Rattus norvegicus: one gene and its partners. The protein of the gene in region 2 interacts with the protein of the main gene of each other region in a biochemical or structural test. Links are inferred from orthologs where the notes say so. Each region holds a gene or a part of one and is shown on either strand. Other genes may lie near its edges. The genes, in order: Map3k14, Ikbkb, Trim21, Tnfrsf1a, Nfkbia, Map3k1 and Nfkbib.

Region 1 (3,500 bases), on a different chromosome or scaffold from region 2:
ACCTGAGAATCAGGGAAAAGGGTCAGATTAGCGGGGATGGGGATGAGAACAAAGACAAAGTCAGCATTTAGGGGAGAGCCTTTTACAGACAGGCCTCAGTGGTCACTTTCTTTCTCTGCCATACTCCTCTGTCTGATGGCTCGCCTCCAGTCCACCATCTTCTCTCTCAATGGGGGCTACCCTGTACCCCGGTTTACCGGTGAAGAGAGGATTGTCTGTAAAGCGGGGATCATGTGGAGCCTGCCTGTCTCACTCACAGTGAAGCTTCCTTGAACATTCCGCACCCCACAGGGCAGTTAGCTTGACAAACAAGCTGGCATGTATTTCTGTTTACACGTATGTGTCTATATGTACATTCATTTCATTTTAGCTCATTTGCAGGGTTGTTTTCTTGTTTCTTCTCAGAAACCAAGAGAGAGGCCTCAGGAGGCAAAGCAGAGGATGCATATATACGGAAAGAAATGCCAGGTTCTCTGGGTTCTAGCCCAAGGTCTGGACTGGAGGATGGTGCTGACGGAGGGGAAAGGGCTCTGGTGCTACTGAGGTCCCCTGGGACTTCTTGTTTCCCAGGCAGCCACCAATATCTATCATTTGGAGGCAACAGGAGTAAAGTGGAGAAAGCCAGACTTGGCCTCCTGCTGAGGCTAGCAGTTCGGAGACCAAGACCTGCAAAGCAGAGGGTCTAGGAAACTTGGCCTCTCCTGTCTGGGTCTCTCCACATGCTCCCATTAAGTACCTCAGCAGAAGGTTAAGGGCCAGCTTGATTTTCCTGTAGAGTCCTTAAGCAATCTTGACTCTTGGCTGCCCCTGTTTGGGTCACGGTGACACAGTCTCTATTTGCTATATCCCCATGATCCACCCTAGTGTGTGTACAACTCCCACTTACACATTCTGGCCTAGATGCTCAGTTGTGTCTGGAGAGATGCTTCTAGAGCAGTCGCTCTGACCTTGCTCTCCCATGGGGACTCCAAGGCTGGCCTCTTGTGCCCAGCCACCCATCTGCAAGCCCACTCACTTGCCACTGAACCCACAGTACCCTGGGTCCTTACATTCAGCCTGGGCGATGATGGAGATGGCGGGGGGCCCGCCCTCGGAACCTTCCTTGGCTGTGCCTTTGGTGATCACATCGTTGAGGATCTCCCACTTCCCACAGAACACAGGGCTCTTCTCCACCGCCTCGAGCTGGAAGATGCAGCTCTGCTTCTTCCCTGGTGACTGTGTCTTCTCCTTGGCTTTGGCGAACTCCTTCTGCTGCCCGACTGCCGACCCAGGAGTGCCTGGGCAGGCCACTTCCATCACGGCCATCTCCTAGGCTTGTGCTCACCTTGACAGGGCCAAACACAGATTTGGTCATTCAAATCCTAGACCCTGTGTGGTCAGCCACAGGTTGAACATGCTTGGAGGGGAAGCATGCATGCGTGTGGGTATGTGTTTGTATGGGGGTCACATGAGAGGTTCTTGGTTCTTTATGGCAAGGATACTCATCCTCTAGACACCCTGAGTTACAGGTAAGGACACCAACCTTGAACTATTTACAAGCATTCCACTTGTGGGAGCACTGGTCTACTGGCGCTGTAGTATAAATAGACTCTTCTGGGGGCTGGAGAGATGGCTCAGTGGTTTAAAACACTGCTACTTTCCCAGAGGACCCAGGTTCAATTCCCAGCACCCACATGGTGGCTCACAACTGTCTATAATTCATTTCCAGGGGATCTGACACCCTTACACATACATATAAGGAGGCAAAACCAGTGCATGTAAAATAAAATAAATCATTTAAAAATGGATTCATCTGCTGGACCTTCAGAGAGATGGGAGTCATTTTCTTCAGTGGTGTAGCCACTGGTAAACTGCCTGTGCTCTAGTAAATAACCCCACACCACACTCATGCAAGTGACCCTAGTTAAACTCAATGTAATACAAGCACTCATACATGCACACACATGTGCATACACACTGACAGGCACATAAGAAGGGGAATGGGAGGGAGATAAGAGGAAACAGATGGTTCAGTAGTTAGAGCACTGGCTGCTTATGCAGAAAACATGGATTTGGTTCCTTGTACCCACATGGCAGCTCACAATATAACTCAAGTTCCAGGGATCCAATGCCCTTGTCTGGTCTGGCCTCCATGGACACTGCATATGTGTTGTATATCATACATAAAGGTAAACCTTTAGGTACACATTTTAAATTATTTTAAATGATGTTAAACTGTTATATGTTTTGGCTTTTTGATACAGGTATATATATTCCTGGCTGTCTTGGATCTCAGTCTGTAGACCAGGCTACCCTGAACACAAAGATCTGCCTATTTCTGCTTCCTGAGTGCTGGGATCAGAGGTGTGTGTTACGATCACCTGGCCTAAAAGTAAATAACTTAAAAAAAGAAGGTAATGGAGTGAATATTACAAAAATACATTATACATCTTTGATGATGGACAAAATCATCAAAGAGCAAAAAACAATATGTTTTAAAGAAGAGTCAGTCTTTCCTCCCCTGCAGACAGCAGCAACATGGAACTGGACTTTTCTCGTCCTACAGTGGCTAAAACTCTTCCTGTTGTGTGGAAAACTTCATTTCCCCTGGACAGGGAGGTAAATCTCATTCTCCAAAACCGTCCCCTCACAGACCCCAAGGACACCTTGCCTTCACAGAGAGCACATCTATTCTGTCCATGGTGGCTTTTCTCCAATGGAGAAAAGCAAGGTTTGGTTTTGTTCTTAGCAGGAATAAATATATGCACAGTTATATCACGATGCGGATGCATTCTGCAAATGTATTGCCAGAAGAGTTTAGCATTGTGCGAGTGTCACAGAATGCATTATGACATCACTGGGGAAAGGAAAGTCTTAGGGGGCCAGTGGTACATGCAGTCCATTGTTGGTGGAAACACTGTCATGAAATGCGTGGCTTTATATGAATATGTGTGTGCAGAAATGTCACAAAGCCTACTATTCAGCCTAAAAATGGGCTGAACACTTGGCTCCTTTCCCATGATGCAACAGTCTGTGGCTCTCTGGAAGGTTCTGAAAAAATGGCTTCCTCCTCAGATTTCCGAAACTCATTTGCTGCAAAAATCTAGGATTTCTTTCAGGCAATGATAGGAGGAGTGTCTATACTGGAGACCTTAATACCAACCAGTATTCTGCATGAAACCCCACCTTTCTCTGGGTTCCACATGGACCATGCTGAGCCTTCCCACGCACACAGCACAGCCATACGCGGCTGGAGAGCATGTCCACAGCAGAGACGTTAGCATCATTACAAAAAGAACAGGGCTAATCCCGCCTTCCAACATTGGAAGACTTTTTTTTTTCTTCCAGAACCAGTTTCTCTCTGTAGCTCTGGCTGTTCTGGAGCTCACTATGTAGACCAGGCTAGCCTCAAACTCAGAGATCAGCTTCCTTCTGCCTCCTGAGTGCTGGCATTAGAAGCATGTGTCACCATGCCTAGCTAGCATTGGGATTCTTCCTTCCTTCCTTCCTTCCTTCCTTCC
Region 2 (3,500 bases):
CAGTGGGTGGCTCACAAATGCTTAACTCCAGCTCCTGGGGGACCCAGTGCCTCTGGTACACCTGGACACATGCACGCATGTGCACACACTCACACCTGAATACACACACACACACACACACACACACACACACACACACACACACACACAAAGCAAACCTAAAGGAGAGGAAGGTGTTTTCACTTTTCCAAGTGGGAAGCCAAGGTACACAGAGATAATAACGACTGCACTACCTGTGGTGTAGCTCAGAAAGAACACTGAGGCGTCTGGATGACCAGGGTTGCTACAGCTAGCCTCCTCCAGCAAGAGGCCCACCCAGGCTGTGGCTGCTGGCCACCTCCTCATGCGTGCAGCCAGGGACCAGGCCCTGCAGCCAGTTCCTTAGCACCTCTAGCCACTTCTGCAGTTGAGCCTCTGGCCTCTCCTTGGTGGGGTTGCCTCATACACTCTTCGCTGTCCCTGATCCTCTCGTCACTGTTGCCAGAAGCTGCACGGTCCTAATCTCAGCCCTCAGGTTGGGGTCCCTTTCTGCCTCCCCCTCCCCGACCCTGGCTAACCACCAAGGTCCACCTTCAACAAGCCTTTTAAGCAAGCGCTTTTGTACTGTTCCTCACCCGTCTGCTGCACCACCTGTGGAGAAAGCTGGACGCCTGCTTCCTCTGTCTCTACACCAGGCATGCAAGCTTAATTCATATGGAAGGGCTAGCCTGCTCCACACAGGGTTCTCAACTCCTTCCACCCATCGCCTTTGTCTCTTGGTGCTACGGTTGACAATGTGGCATTCCGTCTCCAGCCACTCCCGAGTGTTTTCTCCTGAAGTGCCTTCACTGGGATTGGGAAGAGGGAACCCTTCAGTGTTTCCTCTTGTGCTATGAGAATAAGGGGTGCCGGTGCTAGCCCCATTCCGTCTTGCCCCCAGTGAAACCCTACAAGCACTGCTCCAATCCAGCTTTACCAGCAGACAGCATGCGCTCTCCTGGAATATTCTCATGGTCACATCACTCCGACTCCCACGCAGGAGCCTTTCTGGTTACTCCCTCACTTCCGAGAAAGCTGGGGTTCCTGCCCTGAATTCACAGGCCGCCACCCTGCACACCAGAGTTTACGCTTCTTCTTTTTTTTTTTTTTTTTTGGTTCTTTTTTTCAGAGCTGGGGACCGAACCCAGGGCCTTGCGCTTCCTAGGTAAGCGCTCTACCACTGAGCTAAATCCCCAGCCCCGAGTTTACGCTTCTTTAGCAGGCTAGGGTGCTCTCTTTCAAGTCCTCGTCTGCGCCCTCGGTGGGTTACGGTGGATGCCAGACCCAGCTCCCCACACAGCACAGCTCTCACACTGGACACTCGGTGAATGCAGGTGGCAGAACAAGCCAGCATGTGTTACCTCGGTTCCCCTTTCTTACAGGAGGGCATATCCCCCAGCTCCCATCCCCAGGCAAATCCATCAGTGAAGCTCTGGATTCTGACTTCCCTGAGTTCTCTAGAGTGAGCACAAGTGTGAGCTTGCTGCTGTGAGCCTCGCAAGACACTGCCTCCTCCCGCTTGGCCTGTGGAGACGCTCCAGGCTTAGAATCTTCACAAAGCAACATTTTGGTTTCCTGCTTCTGTAATAAACTATCTCCTTTTCTTGCTCTTTTTGGATTTATTTTGTTATCTGAGGTAGGCCTTACTATGTAGTCCAAGCTAGCCCTGAACTTTCTGCTCCAGAGCCCCAAGGGCTGGGCTCACAGGTATGTGCCACCATGCCAGTTCCTTATCAGCCCACTAACACCTTGAAAGGAGTCTCGACATTGCTTAGGCTGGTCTAAACTCATCATCCTCCTGTCTCAGCAAGTGCTGGGATAATAAGTGTGCAACCTTCTGCTTAGCTCTGTGTGTGTGTGTGTGTGTGTGTGTGTGTGTGTGTTTGTGTGTGTGCTGCTGCTAGGGTCTGACTGGACCCAAGGCCTTAGGCACGGGGCAAACATCTTTCTGCTGAAATGTATCTCTACCCCAGAATGTCTTATAAGAGACACTCGGATGAGACACTGATGTCAACAGAAGACAGACACGGACGGGATGAGGAGGCCTGAGCCACTGAAGCTGGAGAGGGTAGTGGGGGTGGGGTGGCTTTGCCCTGGATCCATCAGAGGAGACACCATTTTGCTGACAACTGGATTCCTAACTTCCGGTATCTGAAGCTCTGAAAGAGCAATGGCTGCTGTCTGCAGCTCTTTGAGGTAATTGCTGAAGCCTCCCTTCAGGGAGCTTCCCTGACCACTCCATGTCACAGGTCAGAGCTGAAAGAGCAGCCACGGCTGAGGGAGGGGACCTGAGAGGCCGGAATAAGTCACTCACACAGGCGATCTTCAGGAGGTTCCAGAGCTCCTTCTGCCGCTTCTCCTGGAGCCGGACCACAGTCTTCTCATCCTCGTTCATGAGCCTCACCACCTCTTCTACTTTGGGCAGCAGCTCCAGGGCCTTCTGCTTACAAACCACGGTCTTACTGTGAGGGACGAAAGATCCACAGGCCTGAGAGGTCTGGGCCGGCACAGCACTGCTCTAAATACGATCTGTTCCTCATTGTGCGGGCAGATCGCAGCCGAGGAGCAAGGGCATCCACCTGCCCCTTGGCTTTGTTGATTCTGCATCCGGTCCTGGATGGGGAGAGGGAGCACCCACCTGAGCTGAGAGTAAATCACCCGCACTTTCTTCTCGAAGCTCTGGATGGCTTGCAGCAGCAGCCGTACCATATCCTGGCTGTCACCTTCTGTCCTTTGGTCTGCAGAGGAGAATGGTATCGTTCCTCCTACTGGCCTCCAGGGGAGACCACTGCCTCACAGACAAGACAAATGGAGGCTGGGGTCCGAAGCACATACCTCTTGGCTTCTCCCTGAGTCTTCTGTAGAGTTCTCTTGCTTGTTCCTCTCTGGAAAGAGAAAAGGCCATGGTCACGGCACAGCAAGAACGTTTACAGCACCAGCCCGCTGACCTCGGCCAGCAGAATCACCACTTTTCAGATGACCGGTCACATGCTCTCAGTGGGAAAAGACTGCCAGTTTGGGAATAGTTATAAAACCCAAATGCCCCAAACAAGAACAAGCTTAAAGATTATTACACTCCTCCTCTGCTTAGCTATGAGAGGCATTCGAGGTGCCATTTCTGGACCTGACCAAGAAAATACTTGCCCTCAAAAACCTAAGTCCAAAGCTAGACGTGAATGCCTGCCTCTTCCTCTAACACAGGTGGGCTGGCAACAGCCTCAGAAGGAGGCTCTAACTGATCTTGGCTGTGCACACACAGCCCAAGCCCTCAGGAAGCTGAGGTAGTAGGATTTCTGTGAATCGGGGCAAGTCTTGACTGTGTACCAGGTCTCTCAATGCTAAATAGTGAGACCCTGTTTTGAAACAACACCTGCACACACGGACATCCACATCCACATGCGCACAAGGTGAAGATTCTCATTTGGAAACTGGAAGAGAGAGGGTTAATATGTAAGATACGATGGAGAACAGATAATTCTTTG
Region 3 (4,261 bases), on a different chromosome or scaffold from region 2:
GAGTTAGACAGAACAATTTGCAAATTCATTTGGAATAACAAAAGACCCAGGATAGCAAAAACTATCCTCAACAATAAAAGGACTTCAGGGGGAATCACCATCCCTGACCTCAAGCAGTATTACAGAGCAATGGTGATAAAAAGTATATGGTATTGGTACAGAGACAGACAGATAGACCAGTGGAATAGAATTGAAGACCCAGAAATGAACCCACACACCTATGGGCACTTGATTTTTGACAAAGGAACCAAAACCATCCAATGGAAAAAAGATAGCATTTTCAGCAAATGATGCTGGTTCAACTGGAGGTCCTCATGTAGAAGAACACAAATTGATCCACTCTTATTGCCCTGTACAAAGCTCAAGTCCAAGTGAACCAGGAACCTCCACATAAAATAAGATGCACGCAAACTAAGAGAAGAAAAAGTGGGGAAGAGTCTCGAACACATGGGCACTGGAAAAAATTTCCTGAACAAAACACCAATGGCTTATGCTCTAAGATCAAGAATCAACAAATGCGACCTCATAAAACTGCAAAGCTTCTGTAAGGCAAAGGACACTGTCATTAGGACAAAATGGCAACCAACAGATTGGGAAAGATCTTTACCAATCCTACATCTGATAGAGGGCTAATATTCAATATATACAAAGAACTCAAGTAGTGAGACTCTAGCGAACCACATAACCCTATCAAAAATGGGGTTCAGAGCTAAACAAAGAATTCTCAACTGAGGAATACCAAATGGCTGAGAAGCACCTAAAGAAATGTTCAACATCCTTAGTCATCAGGGAAATGCAAATCAAAACAACCCTGAGATTACATCTCACACCAGTCAGAATGGCTAAGATCAAAAACTCAGGTGACAATAGATGCTGGCGAGGATGTGGAGAAAGAGGAACACTCTTCCATTGTTGGTGAGATTTCAAGCTATTACAACCATTTTGGAAATCAGTCTGGAGGTTCCTCAGAAAACTGTCATAGTACTACCTGAGGACCCAGCTATACCACTCCTGGGTATACACCCAAAAGATTTTTCAACATATAACAAGGACACATGCTTCATTATGTTCATAGCGGCCTTATTTATAACAGCCTGAAGCTGGAAAGAACCCAGATGCCCTTCAACAGAGGAATGGATACAGAAAATGTGGTACATCTACACAATGGAATACTACTCAGCTATCAAAAACAATGACTTCATGAAATTCATAGGCAAATAGATTGGACTAGAAAATATCATCCTGAATGAGGTAAGTCAATCAGTAAAAACATACATGGTATGCAGTCATTGATAAGTGGATATTAGCCCAAACCTTGGGTTACCTAAGATACAATCCACAGATCACATTAAGCTCAAGAAGGACGACCAAAGTGCAGATGCTTCAGTCCTTCTTAGAAGAAGGAACACAAATATTAATAGGAGGAAATATATAGACAAAGTTTGGAGCAGAGACTGAAGGAAAGGCCATCCAGAGACTGCCCCACCTGGGCATCCAGACCATATATACATACAGCTACCAACCCTAGACAATATTGCTGATGCCAAGAAGTGCATGCTGACAGGAACCTGAAATAGCTGTCTCCTGAGAGGCTCTGCCAGAGCATGACAAATACAGAGGCAGATGCTCACAGCCAACCATTGAACTGAGAGTGGGGTCCCCTTTGGAGGAGTTAGAGAAAGGATGGAAGGAGCTGAAGGGGCTTGCAACCCCATAGGAAGAACAATATCAACCAACCAGAGCTCCCAGGGACTAAACCACCACCCAAAGAGTACACATGGACAGACCCATTGCTCTAGCTGCATAAGTAGCAGAGGATGGCCTTTTGGGGCACCAATGGGAGGGGAAGCCCTTGGTCCTGCCAAGAATTGACATCACAGTGTAGGAAATGTCTGGGCAGGCGGGTGGTAAGGGGTGGGCGGGGGAACACCATCATAGAAGAAGGGGGAGGGGAGGTGGAATAGGGGGTTTATGGAAGAGAAAACAGGAAAGAGATAACATTTGAAATAAAAATAAAAAAAAATCCAATAAAAAAACTTCAAGATGTGCATTCATTATCCTGAGTACATCATCTAAGAGTATATTTCCCAGTTATTAGGCTTGTGTGTGTGTGTGTGTGTGTCAGACACACACACACACACACACACACACACACACACACACACAAATTGATGTCTTTATTTACCCTGATATGTTCCATTGTAAGCTACACTTGAGCACAAATGCATCAATGTAGGCATGCCCATACGTTCCTCTATCTAAATGTCTATGTACAGAATATGTATGTATGCTCATCTATTGACATTTGTGGGGAGCACTCCCTGGGCTCTTCTCTAAGCTCCTCCAAGCCTAGTACTTCTCTCAACTTCCTTTAGGGTGCTGAGTATCTTAAACCCACTGAAATTTCTAAGTGGCTAGCACTCTCCTCAATCGAGGGTCTTCAAGGGGCTGGGGTTTCCCCGAGTTCCCCCCTCCCCTCTCCCTCCCGGACTAGGTCACCGCCCTGCTTCTCCTGCTCATGGCACTAGGAAAGTCAATTTCAGAGACCAGCTTTCACAGGGAAGCACGGGCAGCCTGGCAGGGTTGGGACTAGAGAACTCCGCTGAAGAGAAGCAGCAGGTGGGCTAGGAAATTCCGTGTGTAGGGCGCTAGTGGGAAGCGGCTCCTTGAATCTGTGGCATTGGGGTGGGGTGGGGGGAGCCCATCTAGTCTGGCCAGGGGTCCCATCCTCACTCACCTTACCAGGGTCCTCAGACTTGGCTAGGCTGTTTTCAGCTTCACTTTTGCAAGCCCGCAGTCTAATTTCACTTTCAGTTTCCTCTCAGAGGTAAGCTTAGAAGGAAGAGGGAGGAGCAAGGGGAGGAACAGGGAGTTGACTGGCAAGCCTTGGAGGCAGATAGGGCGGAGACTGGGCAGAGAGTGGGAGGAGAGTGGTCAGAGGTGCCAGAAACTGACTTCAGGCCACAGGCAAAGGAAAACTCAGTTAATGTCTTCTTGGGTGCAGTCTCTCTAAGGCCTCCTTGTCACCTTTAACAGACTGTAATCTACAGGATATCGACCTTTGACACTGGTCTTTACTTCAAACCTGGGAGCATCTGGGAGAAGAGGTCTGGATGGGAGAGGAGTTACTATCTTTTCTAGAGGGATCTTCCCACAAGACTGATAGTTCTTTAAAATCCGGGTGAAAGATCCTGGCACTGTTTTTGTTAACATATATTAATTGCACAGTATGCTTGACATATGCCCATTTCCCATCCCTCTGTCTTCTCGTTTTGCTCCCCTCTTTTCAAATAGTCTAGGGTGAGAAATTTATTCCTAATGATGTTAGGGTATGTGTTGTAGCAATGAAGGGAGACTTGTGGACATTGATTGTATTATAATTTGCGCTAAAACCATCAGGTGAATTTTCCTTGCCATTTATCATATTTAGGAAATAAAAGCATTCCGTGCTTTGAAATTTCCAGCCCTGTTTAAGAGATCCTTCTCAGTAAAAGGTCACCAGGCGACATCTACTGTCTAGATTGTGCTGTTGTATTGGGACTTGATTCCAGGAACACAACAGCTCCAGGAAGCAGAATGAAAAACAGAGTCAAGCATCTGAAAGGACAAAGGCATCTGCAAACATCAGAAAATGATTCTGCTTCACACCACTGAAGATCTGTCGCTATTTCCTGCAGGCAAAGAACTTGGGTCCCAAAATAAGGTAGTGGTAGAGTCAATGTCTATTTTTCTATTTACCACTAGATGACGCCTTATCTGTTTCAGTTTACACACTGGATAGAGAGATTAATACACACCCTAGGGTTGTGGTGATAAATACTCTATAATGTGCACACAGGATGACCAATGTAATATACTCATAGCTGCCTCAGCTCCCACCTTGGTAATTATCTGAAGACCCAAACTCCTGAAGAACAAAATCTCCTTCACTCTCAGCTAGTACTTTGATATCTCAACCCTCCTTCCCCTGGGCGAAATGACTCAAGTATTTATTTGGGAAGAGTTAATGTCATTGATAGGACTGTCTAGTACATTATCAGTGTTTTGGTGAAGTGAGATATTTATGCTTTGGGTTTTAGTCAGGCTTTACTAACTTGAATGTGTTTCAGTAACCCAAGTTGTCTCAGTGGTACCCAAGTCCACTCTGTCCAGGACAGGAAAAGCATTCTTTACTCATTTCTAACTTAGTGACCTAAGAAGCCCCAAAGATACAGAAGTAGAAGGAGGACAGCTGGGAACAGGAAAGGACCAATGGGTGTGG
Region 4 (3,500 bases), on a different chromosome or scaffold from region 2:
GTGGATGGAGGTCAGAGGTCAATCTCAGGTTCTCTAGAGAGCGTCAGGGACCTGCCTTGCTCTTCTCCATTACTGGGATTATAAACCTATGCTGCTATGCTTGGCTTTTTATGTAGGCGATGGAGCTTGATCTCAGGTCCTCAGGTCGCATAGCAGCACTTTCCCGAACTATCTTCACGACAGTCCTCCCTATAACTTAACCCCCTCCCCACAACATACTTTTCTAATTACTGTAATGGAATCCAGAGAGGTTTGCTCACTTCTAGGAAGTGTCCACAAACAGGCACAGTGTGAAACCCGCAGCCAGATAGAGAAATGCCAAAGGCGCCGCTGTCTGTCTGTCTGTCAGTCTGTCTGCGGGAAAACCAGGCCATATCCGAAACAGCCTTGTTTTCCTCCTTCTGGCTACATTTCTCGGCAGGGCAGAGGGCACCTCAGTGCTTCTGTGTGAGACCAGGAGCTCCACCCTCAGCCCTGCAAACAAGCCTAAACATTCCTTGACCAGTGTCCCCCCCTCCCCCGCCGTGGTCAGCCTTGTGAGCTGCTTCAGGGAACTGAACAGGATGAAATGCAGCTGGGGCCTGAGACCTAACTGCTCAGTTGTAGAGACCGTTGCTAGCATACAGAACCACCAGAGACCAGGAAAACACTGGACTACACAGCAGCCACCATCTTAGGGACAATGTTCCCCGGGAGGATGTAAACTTGGCGGTGTGTGTGTGTGTGTGTATCCAGTTTGTTGTTGCCTCTAAGGCCTCACCCTATCCCTGACAGAATTTCCTCTTTCCGATTGTTCCTTCAGGTGCTCCTGGCTCTGCTGATGGGGATACACCCGTCAGGGGTCACCGGACTGGTTCCTTCTCTTGGTGACCGGGAGAAGAGGGATAATTTGTGTCCCCAGGGAAAGTATGCCCATCCAAAGAATAATTCCATCTGCTGCACCAAGTGCCACAAAGGTAGGAGACAATGGGGGCAGAGAGTCCTCGTGAGGTTCCTTTTGCTTGTTTCTGACGTTCCCAGACCTTGTCCATGGGAGTCCCCTTACTTTGCTGTTTCCCCCGGAGTTGGGCTTTGCTCTTCAGCTCTCAACTACAGACTAATCCTGACCCCATCCACAGGAACCTACTTGGTGAGTGACTGTCCAAGCCCAGGGCAGGAAACAGTCTGCGAGGTGTGTGATAAAGGCACCTTTACAGCTTCGCAGAACCACGTCAGACAGTGTCTCAGTTGCAAGACATGTCGGAAAGGCAAGCCTTAGGATTGGGCAAGGGTTCTAGAAGGTGCACGGTGCGAGAAGGCGCGCGTGAACATGTGTGTGTGTGTGTGTGTGTGTGTGTGTGTGTGTGTGTGTGTCCATGGATGTTTGCCAGGGGTCGGGGTTCGAATCTGCCCGTGGGTGTGGCGGGAACATGCATGCACTTACAAACCTGGGCGTGTGTGTGTGGGACTGTCTGTGTCACGAAGACAAATGCACGTGGCGAGCTGGGGCGTCAAGATGTGTGTGGGAAAAGCGGTGCGAGACTCATATACCGTTTCCTTCCCTCTTCAGAAATGTTCCAGGTGGAGATTTCTCCTTGCAAAGCTGACATGGACACCGTGTGTGGCTGCAAGAAGAACCAATTCCAGCGCTACCTGAGTGAGACGCATTTCCAGTGTGTGGACTGCAGCCCCTGCTTCAATGGCACCGTGACAATCCCCTGTGAGCACCACTCACTCAAGTCCAGGCCTCTCCCCCAACCCCATCTCCTCCTTCCCTCCTCCCCATGAGGGAGCTGCTTTTCTACTCCTCTGTGGGTATGAGCTCCTATGTGGTGCCTGCATCCTGCCCTTCTCCCTCCCTCGTGTCCTCAGACTGCAGGCACACTCTCTTAGTCTCACTGTTTTCTCACAGGTAAGGAGAAACAGAACACCGTGTGTAACTGCCACGCAGGATTCTTTCTAAGCGGAAATGAGTGCACCCCTTGCAGCCAGTGAGTATCTGCCAAGTGCTTGGGGACCAGGGTGGATGAACAGCTGTGGCTGAGAGGCTCCAAGCAGGATTAAAGGAAGTATCCTACAACTGGATGAGAAGACAGTACAGCAAGACATCAGATTGTCCTTTCTGTTTCTCCAGAATGTTAGGGTACAGGCAAGTGGGTAAAGTGCTTGCAGCAAAAGTCTGGCACCCTGAGTTCAATCTCTGGAGCCCGTGTAAAGGTGAAAGGAGAGACTATCAGCTCCACAAAGTCATCCTCAGACCTCCACATACAGGGCATAGCGTGCATGCCTCTTCAGTGCTGGGCAGTTAGAATATGCGCACACTGTTCTCCACGGCTCTCTATTGATGGTGTCTTAGGTCTGGTGTGTCTGCCACCCTATTGCTGGTGATTCCTTCCCAGCCTCCCTGACAGACTTCCTCATTCCTGTGCCTCCACATGGGCTGTTCTCATACATTTGCTTCCAGAGGAAGAAACTCTGAGACTCTCATAGTTGAACTGACCTGGGGTTAAATCCCAACCTACCCATTTCCTGGCTCTGCAACCTTGGGCAAATTCCTACATCCCCACACCTAATGTTTATTAACTTTTAGGGTAAGGAGAGTCAGGGTGGAAGTACTTTGGGTCAATGGTAGAGCACTGGCCTAGCCTATTGGAGGCATTGGGTTGGATCTCCAAAACAGACGGCTAGACCAACGATCTATAATACTGTCTGAGCCAACGCTGTCTACTTTCTATTTTTTTTCCTACTCAGTTTCAACTCAGAAGAGCTCATGTGCCCAATCCTATGTGTTCTATCCCGAGCTCATGAGGAAGACAAAAATCTCCTTTCCCTGTTTGCAGACTTCTGCTGAGATCACATTCCTCTGTCGTCCCCCTACCCCCACGCAGTGTAGTTTTCTCATCTCTCTCCTCCCCAACCCCCCACGACAGCTCTCAATGGCTGCCCCAGTGATAGACATCCTAAAATCTCTCATGCCCCCGTGACCGGTCATATCCAAAATCAAGTGCTGTAAACAGCAGTGTTATCGGATGGGAGGCCCTCCAGCTTCTTGTATGAGTCCTCTTTCTGGACCTGTGACTGAATCAGCTTAAAGCAAAGACCGGCTTATTTTGCCTCCTGGTTTCATCAATTCACAGTATTTGGCATTGCTGCTTTTGAGCCGGTGCTGAAGCAGGACATCATGATCAGAGCATACTGTGCAAGCAAAGTAGCTCACCTTGTAGCAGCTGAGAGGCCAAGAGAAATAAATAAATAAATAAATATTTATTTATTTATTATATATGAGTACACTGTAGGTATCTTCAGACACACCAGAAGAGGGCATCGTATCCCCATTACAGATGGTCGTGAGCCACCATGTGGTTGTGGGATTTGAACTCAGGACCTCTGGAAGAGCAGTCGATGCTCTTAACCACTGAGCCATCTCTCCAGCCCCATTTTGTTTTATTTTATTTGTCTTTACTCAGGGTCTCACTGGTTAGCCTTGGCTGGCCTGGGACTCACTAGGTAGACCAGGCTGG
Region 5 (4,101 bases), on a different chromosome or scaffold from region 2:
TTTTTTTTTTTTAGAAAAATAAAACTCTATTTGTACAAATATACAAGTCCACGTTCCTTTGGCCACTTTCCTCTTATAACGTCAGACGCTGGCCTCCAAACACACAGTCATCGTAGGGCAACTGGAACAAGAGAGGGAAAAAGGCACATTAGATTCCTAGAACTTCGCCAAGCCATTGGGATGGCGGGAGAGCTGCTTCTACAAATAACTCCCATTCCTGGACTCTCTCCTCCTCAGCCTAAACAGAACGCAGGCGCCGGGCTGCAGGAGTTCCCTTCACCAATTCTCTCCTTTCAAAAGTCTAAGCTATTGCAGGGGACATAGCTCAATGGTAGAACATGTGCCTATTACCACGTGTTAAAGCCTGGGTTCAATTCCCACAACTCCCTCTTACTGCCCCATTCCGAAACCCACAAGGGTAAGCTATTAAAGCAAACCAGAGACACGTTCTTGGGATCCTGGCTTTGCAAGCTGAGACTGAGAAGTTGAATAACTCAGGTCCCTATGATACAGAACAGCTCTAGAACAGACCTAGGTGTGGTGAGGGAGAATGGACCACTCTGGCAGTAATGAACACGCACCTCATCTTCCGTGAATTCTGACTCCGTGTCATAGCTCTCCTCATCCTCACTCTCGGGCAGCGTCTGAAGATTTTCCAGGGTCAGCTGGCCCAGCTGCTGCTGTATCCGGGTACTTGGGCGGCCCCACGTAAGCTGGTAGGGGGAGTAGCCCTGGTAGGTTACTCTGTTGACATCAGCCCCACACTTCAACAGGAGCGAGACCAGGTCAGGATTCTGCAGGTCCACTGCAAGGTGGAGGGCTGTCCGGCCATTACAGGGCTCCTGAAACCAAAGGCAATCAGAAGTGTTTATCTGGAAATCTGCTCACAGTAAGAGCCAGCCCAGCAGAGTTTAGGAGGAAGGGGAAGTACTCACCTGAGCGTTGACATCAGCACCCAAAGTCACCAAGTGCTCCACGATGCCCAGGTAGCCATGGATAGAGGCTAAGTGTAGACACGTGTGGCCTGCAGGATATAAGACGGAACTGTAACCACTTGTTTCAATCCTCACACAAGTCACGTCTCCTTTCTTGGGGACAACCACAAACAACCTCAATTTTGAAGAACTCAAAAGTCTGGGTTCTCAGTGAACGTCATGTAGGAATCATGGAGAAGACTTTTTAAAAGTCCACACTGCCTGAACTTCTTATACGTTGAGGCGTTTTAGCTCCAGGCTAGACTCAAGGGGACCCGTCTCTCCCTTCTCTGCGTCCCTGGATGGACTGGCAGACCTACCGTTGTAGTTGGTGGCCTGCAGGACGGAGTGGAGATGCTGGGGCGTACAGGTCTGAGTCAAGACTGCTACACTGGCCAGGCAGCCCTGCTCACAGGCAAGATGGAGAGGGGTATTTCCTCGAAAGTCTCGGAGCTCAGGATCACAGCCAGCTTTCAGAAGTGCCTCAGCAATTCCTGGCTGGTTGGTGATCACAGCCAAGTGGAGTGGAGTCTACGAATGGAAGAGGAAACAGAAAGAGCCTAAGCCATGGAGCAAACCCATAGTCTTGAGTTTCCTGAACCCCAGACACCTCCTATTACAGAATCCCCTCCTCCCATTTGTCTACAGGAGATCAGGCAAACAGGAGGCCCTACGTGGGTCATAAAGACCTCAACCAACCCTTGGGATTTTCCTTCTTGCTCTAAGACTTTGGCTAATTTGAATGTAAAAGGCCAGGGCAGATAAGGACCGTGACTGTTAATTTAGAAACGCTTTGGGGGCGACTGAGCTTCATCTAACTCCACCACGGGGTCAAAGAGGGCACAGCTGGGCAAGCCCGCACCTGCTGCAGGTTGTTCTGGAAGTTGAGGAAGGCCAGGTCTCCCTTCACCTGACCAATCACTTCCATGGTCAGTGTCTTCTCTTCATGGATGATTGCCAAGTGCAGGAACCTGCGGGATGACAGGGAAACCCCCCAGGGGTGGTGAGCGCACTGCGTGGGGCCCCCGAGAGGCGCGGGCTGCGGGGGATTGCGCAAGGCCGGGGTTTCTGGAGGCCGCGGCCGCGGTGTTTTCCGCGAGGTTATTATGAGCTGAGTGTTCCTGGCAGCCGCCCAGGGACTTTCCGTGCCCCACCCCCTCCGGGCGGGCGCCGGCCAGACCGGCCCGCCCTCCGCCGCCCGGAACGCCCTGTACTTCCCCTCGCGGCCGCGCAGCGCCCGGCGGCTGCGCGGAAACTCTGCCAGGCGGGGACTTTGCGTCCTCGTTGCCGCCCCGCCCCCGGCCTGCGCTCGGCTACTCCGGGTCCCGGGAAATGGGGTGGGGGGATGGGGAGGCAGGCGGCCCGGCGCCCGCAGCTCTGTAGCCCCGTAGCCCCGCAGCCCCGCCGTGCAGAGCCCCGAGCGCGGTGCAGGCCCCGCGCGACCCCGCCCGTGCCCATGCCCGAGCCCGCCGCCACTTACGAGTCTCCGTCCTCCGTGAGCTGTTGCTTCCAGGGCTCGGCAGCCAGAGGCGCCTCCTGCGGCTGCAGGCGGATCTCCCGCAGCTCCTTCACCATCTGCTCGTAATCCTCGTCCTTCATGGAGTCCAAGCCGCTGTCGTGGCGGTCGTCCACCAACCGCTCCTTCTTGAGGCCGTCCCGCGGGCCCTCCATGGCCCAGTCCTGGCCGTGCCCAGCTGGCTGAAACATGGCTGTGCGGAGCTGAGCGGGTGCAGGGTGCAGGCTGCTGGCAGTTGGGTGGCGAGTTCAGACTGTTGTGGGCTCGGCAGCGCCGCCTCGGCGCCCTATAAACGCTGGCAGGGGATTTCTCAGGGGCGGGGTCAGGCGCGGGGAATTTCCAAGCCAGTCAGACTAGAAAAAGAACTGGCTCGTCCTCGACTGAGAAGCCTAAACCCAGGGCCGGGGTTCATCAGAGAAACTCCCTACGATGAGCCACTGGGGTCATGTACAGGGAACTTTTTGATGAGCCCTGAGTGGCTGGAAAGTCCTCCCGACCAGGCCCCCTCCCTCTAGGTACTTCCCTGCAGCCTGCACTCAGTAACCCCAGCGTTCTACAAGAGCCCTTCTTTCCCTGGGGTTTCCCACCGACGACTTTGGTTTGGGGTCCCAAGCTGCTGAGATTCCAAGGACGCAAACCTGCTAGGCTGTTCCTCTTAGAGATTTGCCAATTTGCAGGTCCTTTCCGGTTCTTGATCTTTTGAAAACCCAAGAGTGGAAATGGCTGGCTGGGTGCAGGGATTCGCTTCTCCTAAATTTCTGCGACGACGGACGTATGAGTGATTCCGGGTCGTCTGTGTTTCAGGCTCTTTGCAGTGCATGGACATTTGGCTGCCCTTCACCATCCCCCCTCGAAGCTGTAGACACTTTGGCATTCAAACAAACAAAACCAATAACAACAACAACAAAATCCAAGCGCCTGGAGAACCCCTAGATTAATTCCGAGGGGTCAATAATCTCGCCCGGGGGAGGGGCAGCGGGGGAGGGGCAAAGTCTAGCTCCATATGGGAACCACATTTTCCCCCAAGTAATGCAAGGTGTTAATCTTTGTAGAAGTTGTAGCTTCCATGCAACAGAAACTGTTGAGTTCTTGCTGTTGGAGTTAACTTGTTAACTTGTAGAGAATAAAGCCGGAGCTTATTGTGAATGCCTAGCAGAACAACTGGTTTAGTGCCCTAGCCTCTTAAACATAGCTAAGAAAGTAACTTTGAAGCATCCTGCAGGAGGCTCAACATAGTCCTAACACTGACCACATCTGAAACCTGCTGGTTCTACTAGCTTCCTTGCTTCCCAGGGACCGCAGCATTGTGGGTGGCTACTCCTCAAGAAAGGGATTTGGGCCTGTGATCCCCTAGTTTTACCTGCAAAAGTAGAAGTGTTGCTTCCACCCCATCCCGACTTAGGAGCCTGCAAGTGTGAGGTAACTCGGGAAAATTAAAGCAACTTGGATCACAGTTTGTCAGAATAGACCCAGTAGGCTTCCTGTTCTGCATAGATTTCTGGTGAAATTTGAGTGATCTTTTTCTTGTTGAGCCTTGTAGCAACTCTCCTCTCTTCGTAATTCCACTGCCTCCCCCACAGTATGAAAGTGAGGACACTGGGGGAAAAGATT
Region 6 (3,500 bases), on a different chromosome or scaffold from region 2:
GCCCAGAACTACAATACAAGCCATCAAGAAGTTTTAACTTGGCCATATGTGATGCATTCATTCAAGAAAATATATGAACAGCAAGACATTACTAGTAGACGGCAGACAGTAAACAGTGTATAAGAAATCAGGAGCACATTAAGATCAGTAAAATTATATGGACAGACAAAATGGAATACTGCAACTTCTTAGGACTATGGTATAAAAAAATTTTGGTAAAGATGCATTGCTTCTTATAACTGATACCTACAAAAGACCAAAGAAAGAAACTCGTAAGAGATGGGTATGGAATAAAGTACTTACTAAAGCAGCAACGTACACTTTGTAGACAGGGTCAGCGCACACGATAGACAGGACGCTGCAGCACGCCTCCACCACGTCCCCTGAGATGCTGGGCTGGGAAGACCCACTGGCGGCGCCAGCACTTAGGCTGCCTCCGCTGCCGCCTCCAGAAGTTCCAGTGCTCTCCCCGTTCGCCAACAACAGGGCCCCGCTAACATCGTGGGAAAGGCGCCTAAGGGCCATCTCCCTTACGTTCCAGTTTCTAGAGAATAAGCAGCCAACGAGCTCCATTCCGAATGCCTGAATCGAGCAAACACAAGTGTGGAGAAGTAAGCGACCCACGCTGTATTAACGAGTTTCCCACAATTAAAGAAAAATGGCCACTTTTCAAGCCTTGACTGTATCTGACAGATACTTTTAATTGTCAACGTTTTTCTATGAAGAATTACATAATACATACACATTCTTGTGTGGGCTCATGGTGCACATGTGTACATGTGGAGGGCAGAGGTCAACCTCAGGAGCTGTTCCCGGGAGATGTCCACGTCTCTTTTCTTTCTGGTTTGAGATGGGCTCTTCTTTAGGCTCACTAATTAGGCTAGGCTGGCTGGACACTGAGCCCTGTGGGTCCACCTTTCCAGAGCTGGGACTGCAGTGCATCAACACACCTAGTTTTCTATAGGATTCTGGACATTAAACTCAGACTCCTACGCTTAAAAGGAAAACTCTTGACTAGCTGAACTATCTGCTAGGTAACCCTTATGATGCCAGACTTAGTGTGGACATCCAAACTTAGTGGAACATCTGAACTGTAGAGTGTGCAATAGCCCAGAACCTGGACTCAAGCAATCCTCCTGTCTCAGCCTCCCAAGTAGCAGACTCTGGAGGCAATTCTGTCCAAACTCTGCTGCTCTCTGCCTCTGCTCCCTTTTCTCCCCTCAAGCTGAGGGCCAACAGCATCCGGAGAAATGGGGTCCACACCCCCACTCCCTGACTGCCAAATTCATGGGACTTAGAAACTTCTGGGATTGTCTACTGGGGCCTTTCCAGATTATATTAGTTGAGGCGGGGACCTACCGTAAATGTGCTGAGCACAGGCTGAATAATGAGAAATGAGCTCGTTTCCCTTTGTTTCCTGTCTGTGGATGCCCCGTGACCAGCTACTCTAGGTCCTGCTGCCGTGCCTTCCCTGCTATGATTAGCTGCATGCCTTCGGTTGTAAGCTCAAACAAATCCTTCCCTCCATGGTTACTTCTTGCCAGGTATTTGGTCACAGAAACAATAAAAGTAACTAAAGCACGACAGCACTTAATTTGCAATGCTAGTCACTTCAACACATAGAACACACCTTATCATCAAATTCAAGGAATGATCATGCGAAGTTACTAACACTGAATAGCTTATAAGTAAAACTGAGGCTAAACTCTGATAACTGGGTACCTTCATTTTCATAGTTTGTTTTGTTTAAAAACACTAAAACCCAGGTTGGAGAGATGGCTCAGCGGTTAAGAGCACTGACTGCTCTTCCAGAGGTCCTGAGTTCAATTCCCAGCAACCACATGGTGGCTCACAACCATCTGTAATGGGATCTGATGCCCTCTTCTGGTGTGTGTGAAGACAGCCACAGTGTACTCACATATACAAAATAAATAAATTGTAAAACAAAACACTAAAACCAAGAGACAAAAAACAAACTGCAAAGAACTCCATATTTATACACGATTAAAATACTTTATAGAGAAGGAGTATGGCTTTGTACAAAAAACAAGGAAAACAGGACACCACCGGTGTGGAGGCTTCAAGTCAGAATATTTTTCTTAAGAGAAACAGAAATTTGTATGATTTTTGGCTTGTAGGAAAAGGATCAACAGGTGGGATCAGAAGAGAAAAGTGAGACTAAAGAATGCTTTGTTTAAAGAGGAGTGGATACAGAAAATGTGGTACATCTACACAATGGAATATTACTCAGCTATCAAAAACAATGACTTTATGAAATTCATAGGCAAATGGATGGGACTGGAAAATATCATCCTGAGTGAGGTAGCCCAGTCACAGAAAAACACACATGGTATGCACTCATTGATAAGTGGCTATTAGCCCAAATGCTTGAATTACCCTAGATGTACAGAACACATGAAACTCAAGATGGATGATCAAAATGTGAATGCTTCACTCCTTCTTTAAAAGGGGAACAAGAATATCCTTAGGGGGGTTGGGGATTTAGCTCAGTGGTAGAGCGCTTGCCTAGGAAGCGCAAGGCCCTGGGTTCGGTCCCCAGCTCCGAAAAATAGAACCAAAAAAAAAAAAAAAAAAAAAAAAAAAAAGAATATCCTTAGGAAGGGATAGGGAGGCAAAGTTTAGTACAGAGACTGAAGGAACACCCATTCAGAGCCTGCCCAACACGTGGCCCATACATATACAGCCACCAAACTAGATAAGATGGATGAAGCAAAGAAGTGCAGGCTGACAGGAACCGGATGTAGATCGCTCCTGAGAGACACAGCCAGAATATGGCAAATACAGAGGCAAATGCCAGCAGCAAACCACTGAACTGAGAATAGGACCCTTGTTGAAGGAATCAGAGAAAGAATTGAAGGAGCTGAAGGGGCTCGAGACTCCACAAGAACAACAATGCCAGCCAACCAGAGCTTCCAGGGACTAAGCCACTACCTAAAGACTATACATGGACTGACCCTGGGCTCTGACCTCATACGTAGCAATGAATATCCTAGTAAGAGCACCAGTGGAAGGGGAAGCCCTGGGTCCTGCCAAGGCTGGACCCCCAGTGAATGGGATTCTTGGGGGGAGTGCGGTAATGGGGGGAGGATGGGGAGGGGAACACCGATAGAGAAGGGGAGGGGTAGGGGTTAGGGGGATGTTTGCCTGGAAACTGGGAAAGGGAATAACATTTGAAATGTAAATAAGAAATACCCAATTTAATAAAGATAAAAAAAGAGAATGCTTTGTTTAAATGAACAAAGGACAAGGATGTAACAGAGTTAATGTAAGTGTGGTTACAGCCCTCCCACCAGGACCCAAAACCTTCTACAGGAGAATCGTAAATGGTATTGACCTCATGACCAATTATTAAAAAGTAAGCTTGATTCTAAGACAACATATATGAAAACTTCTAGATATAAGAGATGTTTTACACACTTTTGGGGGAGAAGACGAATTGTGATGTATTTACATGTATAAGAAGAGTAAACCAGCAGGAG
Region 7 (2,535 bases), on a different chromosome or scaffold from region 2:
GTATCTGTTTCAGTCTCCTGTAACCTAGCCTGGCCTCAAGCTAGCTAAGTAGCACCAGGATGACCTTAAATTCCTCCTCTTGTTCCCAACACAGGGTATTATAGGCATACACCACCATACTGTTTACGCTGGGGATCGAACCTAGGGCTTTACATATGCCAGATGAGCACCCCACCAACTGAGCTATGTCCAAGGGCATCAGCTGCATCTCAGGCTGGGCGAGAGGAGCCAGGAGCTCACATCCTCCCTGGGGCCCGGGGCCCTCACCATCATAGTTTTCAGCTTCTAGCTGCAGCCTCCAATCTTCATCACGCAGCTCCTCTTCGTTCCCTGGGTTGGGTTGGGGGTCCGTGGCAACAGGGGCATGGCTGGTGTCTGGGGTGTGGTCCTGGCTCTGAGTGAGGTAGGTATCTGAGGCATCTCTTGGGTGGCTGGGACGGGGCTGAAGCAGTACATATGCACACGTGTGTGCCCTCACACGGCAGGCCAAGTGCAGTGCTGTGTGGCCCCCTCTCTCAGTCACCAACACTCCTGCGCCAGCTGCATAGAGTTTCTCTACTGTAGATGCCTCTCCAAGGATGGCTGCTAGGTGCAGGGCTGTCTACAGGGATAGAGGGAAGGGGTTAGGGCCACACTGACAATGCTGGACCCGGCTCCCTACAGCAAACATCCCCAGTGGCTCACTTGGCCTAGGTCGTTCTGCAAGTCCAGGTACTCAGTGCCGGCAGAGAAGCCCAGGAGGAAATCCAGGAAGGGCTCGTGCTGATGTATCACGGCCAAGTGCAGGGCTCTGGGGACAAAGGCAAAGGTCAGTAACACAGAGTGTCTTCTATGTGCTGCAAACTGTGGCCACAGTTGGAAACATTTCAGTGTTTGGGAGAGTCAGGGGGCAGAAGGTAATCCAGAAACTTTGTCTGACGGGGTTGGTGTTCTGAGATAAGATGGTCTTCATAAGTTGCCCACACTGACCTTGAGTTCAAGTCCCTCCTGCCTCAGCTTCCTGAGTGGCAAGGTTGACAAGCCTGTGCAAATAGGCCCCAGCTACCGACTTTGTTTCACCAGTATTTACTGAGTAATATAATCAGGTGTAATAGCTCTAATGCTAGTACGTGGGAAAACTAAAGTAGGAGGATTGTTAGTTCAAGGCCAGACTGAACTACATGGTGAGTTCTAAACCAGCAGTGTTAAATGCTAAATAATGAGATTCTATCACACACACACACACACACACACACACACACACACACACAGAAACACATAGACACAGAAACACACCACACACACACAGACACATACACCACACATACACACCACACACACCATATACACACACACATCACATACACCACACACACAACACACACACACCACGCACACACACACACCATATATACACACACATCACTCATACCACACACACACACACACACACACACACGCACACACACACATACATGCACACAGATCTAATAACAAGGAGAAGTAGCAACAGATGGATCCATAGACTGGTGATCTCAATAGGTCTCTGTCACCAACTGTTTGAATAAACAGAAAAACAGGAACAGAGTCAACTTGAAAGGCACCGTTCTTCAGGAGCGGCCGCCTTGACTCTGCAGTTGTGTGGACTGAATCTAAGGTAGCGGGCATGCAGGGAAGCTCTGTGCCACCGAGTTTCCTCCTGTTGGTTCCCTTTATTGTGAAACAGGGCCTTGCTATGAATGTCCCCAGGCTGGCCTTGAATTTACTCTCTTCCTAGGCAGGCCCTAACCTTGAACTCCTCCTGTCTCCGTCTTCTTTGTGGCTGGAATTACACACCCAGCTTTGAACAACACTGCTAACCAACATTACCTCTAAGTCACGCATCATCAGAATGAAATCTGTGGGACACAGTTCCTGAGAGCCCTTGCCTAACACTCAGGAGGCCCTGGGTTTGATGGCCAGCACCGCTAGAAAAAAACCAGAGACCGCAAATCAGACAAAGCATGTTCTCTGCCCTCAGTGAAATGAAATTTAAAGCCGGTGACAGAAAGAGGTCTGGAAAGTCCTCCAAGTGTGGAAAATGAATGTACTTCTTTATTACCTACTGGCTGAAGGAGAAATCAAAAGAGAAATTAAAAAATATACTCAATTATGCTAAAAACAAAACACAGTCTATCAGAAGTTCTCCAGAGGAAATATGTACAGCATTCCGAGCACATTAGAAAAGAAGAAAGGTGGGTTGGGGATTTAGCTCAGTAGTAGAGCGCTTGCCTAGCAAGCACAAGGCCCTGGGTTCGGTCCCCAGCTCCGAAAAAAAGAAAAAGAAAAAACAAAAAACAAAAAAAAAGAAAAGAAGAAAGGTGAGCTAGGCAGTGGCTTACTTGGGAGTGCTAGCTTAGCACACATAAGGCTCAACCCCAACTCTGCAGAAACCAGCCTTGCACCACCTTGCCTGGAATCCCAGGCAGGAAGGCCAAGAGTTTAAGGCTAGGGTAGGAGGGATGGCTCAGCAGTTAAGAGCACTGATTGCTCTTCCAGAGGTCTTGAGTTCAATTC

Evidence for each region.
Region 1: of the proteins of Ikbkb (region 2) and Map3k14, one has a biochemical effect on the other in vitro, tested with the Homo sapiens proteins (3 studies listed by BioGRID and IntAct, with this or other methods). The link is inferred for Rattus norvegicus from reciprocal best matches to the Homo sapiens genes IKBKB and MAP3K14.
Region 3: of the proteins of Ikbkb (region 2) and Trim21, one has a biochemical effect on the other in vitro, tested with the Homo sapiens proteins (2 studies listed by BioGRID). The link is inferred for Rattus norvegicus from reciprocal best matches to the Homo sapiens genes IKBKB and TRIM21.
Region 4: of the proteins of Ikbkb (region 2) and Tnfrsf1a, one has a biochemical effect on the other in vitro, tested with the Homo sapiens proteins (2 studies listed by BioGRID, with this or other methods). The link is inferred for Rattus norvegicus from reciprocal best matches to the Homo sapiens genes IKBKB and TNFRSF1A.
Region 5: of the proteins of Ikbkb (region 2) and Nfkbia, one has a biochemical effect on the other in vitro, tested with the Homo sapiens proteins (58 studies listed by BioGRID and IntAct, with this or other methods). The link is inferred for Rattus norvegicus from reciprocal best matches to the Homo sapiens genes IKBKB and NFKBIA.
Region 6: of the proteins of Ikbkb (region 2) and Map3k1, one has a biochemical effect on the other in vitro, tested with the Homo sapiens proteins (3 studies listed by BioGRID and IntAct). The link is inferred for Rattus norvegicus from reciprocal best matches to the Homo sapiens genes IKBKB and MAP3K1.
Region 7: of the proteins of Ikbkb (region 2) and Nfkbib, one has a biochemical effect on the other in vitro, tested with the Homo sapiens proteins (2 studies listed by BioGRID). The link is inferred for Rattus norvegicus from reciprocal best matches to the Homo sapiens genes IKBKB and NFKBIB.

What each region holds. Positions count from the first base shown.
Region 1 is NC_086028.1:88,688,093-88,691,592, forward strand, and holds part of Map3k14 (mitogen-activated protein kinase kinase kinase 14), read right to left. Parts: intron 1,325-3,500; 5' UTR 1,306-1,324; coding exon 1,050-1,305; intron 3-1,049; coding exon 1-2.
Region 2 is NC_086034.1:76,067,031-76,070,530, reverse strand, and holds part of Ikbkb (inhibitor of nuclear factor kappa-B kinase subunit beta), read right to left. Parts: intron 2,904-3,500; coding exon 2,854-2,903; intron 2,757-2,853; coding exon 2,657-2,756; intron 2,481-2,656; coding exon 2,333-2,480; intron 1-2,332.
Region 3 is NC_086019.1:166,396,572-166,400,832, forward strand, and holds the start of Trim21 (E3 ubiquitin-protein ligase TRIM21), read right to left. Parts: upstream 2,801-4,261; 5' UTR 2,738-2,800; intron 1-2,737. UniProt on the Homo sapiens protein: E3 ubiquitin-protein ligase whose activity is dependent on E2 enzymes, UBE2D1, UBE2D2, UBE2E1 and UBE2E2.
Region 4 is NC_086022.1:159,843,619-159,847,118, forward strand, and holds part of Tnfrsf1a (tumor necrosis factor receptor superfamily member 1A precursor), read left to right. Parts: intron 1-802; coding exon 803-956; intron 957-1,118; coding exon 1,119-1,247; intron 1,248-1,549; coding exon 1,550-1,699; intron 1,700-1,891; coding exon 1,892-1,970; intron 1,971-1,999; exon of another isoform or gene 2,000-3,500.
Region 5 is NC_086024.1:78,594,273-78,598,373, forward strand, and holds the start of Nfkbia (NF-kappa-B inhibitor alpha), read right to left. Parts: upstream 2,801-4,101; 5' UTR 2,682-2,800; coding exon 2,455-2,681; intron 1,946-2,454; coding exon 1,837-1,945; intron 1,506-1,836; coding exon 1,295-1,505; intron 1,025-1,294; coding exon 936-1,024; intron 843-935; coding exon 582-842; coding exon of another isoform or gene 495-581; exon of another isoform or gene 122-494; coding exon 74-121; 3' UTR 1-73. UniProt on the Homo sapiens protein: Inhibits the activity of dimeric NF-kappa-B/REL complexes by trapping REL (RELA/p65 and NFKB1/p50) dimers in the cytoplasm by masking their nuclear localization signals.
Region 6 is NC_086020.1:45,096,019-45,099,518, forward strand, and holds part of Map3k1 (mitogen-activated protein kinase kinase kinase 1), read right to left. Parts: intron 583-3,500; coding exon 304-582; intron 1-303. UniProt on the Homo sapiens protein: Component of a protein kinase signal transduction cascade. Activates the ERK and JNK kinase pathways by phosphorylation of MAP2K1 and MAP2K4. May phosphorylate the MAPK8/JNK1 kinase.
Region 7 is NC_086019.1:93,175,853-93,178,387, forward strand, and holds part of Nfkbib (NF-kappa-B inhibitor beta), read right to left. Parts: intron 791-2,535; coding exon 685-790; intron 602-684; coding exon 268-601; intron 1-267. UniProt on the Homo sapiens protein: Inhibits NF-kappa-B by complexing with and trapping it in the cytoplasm.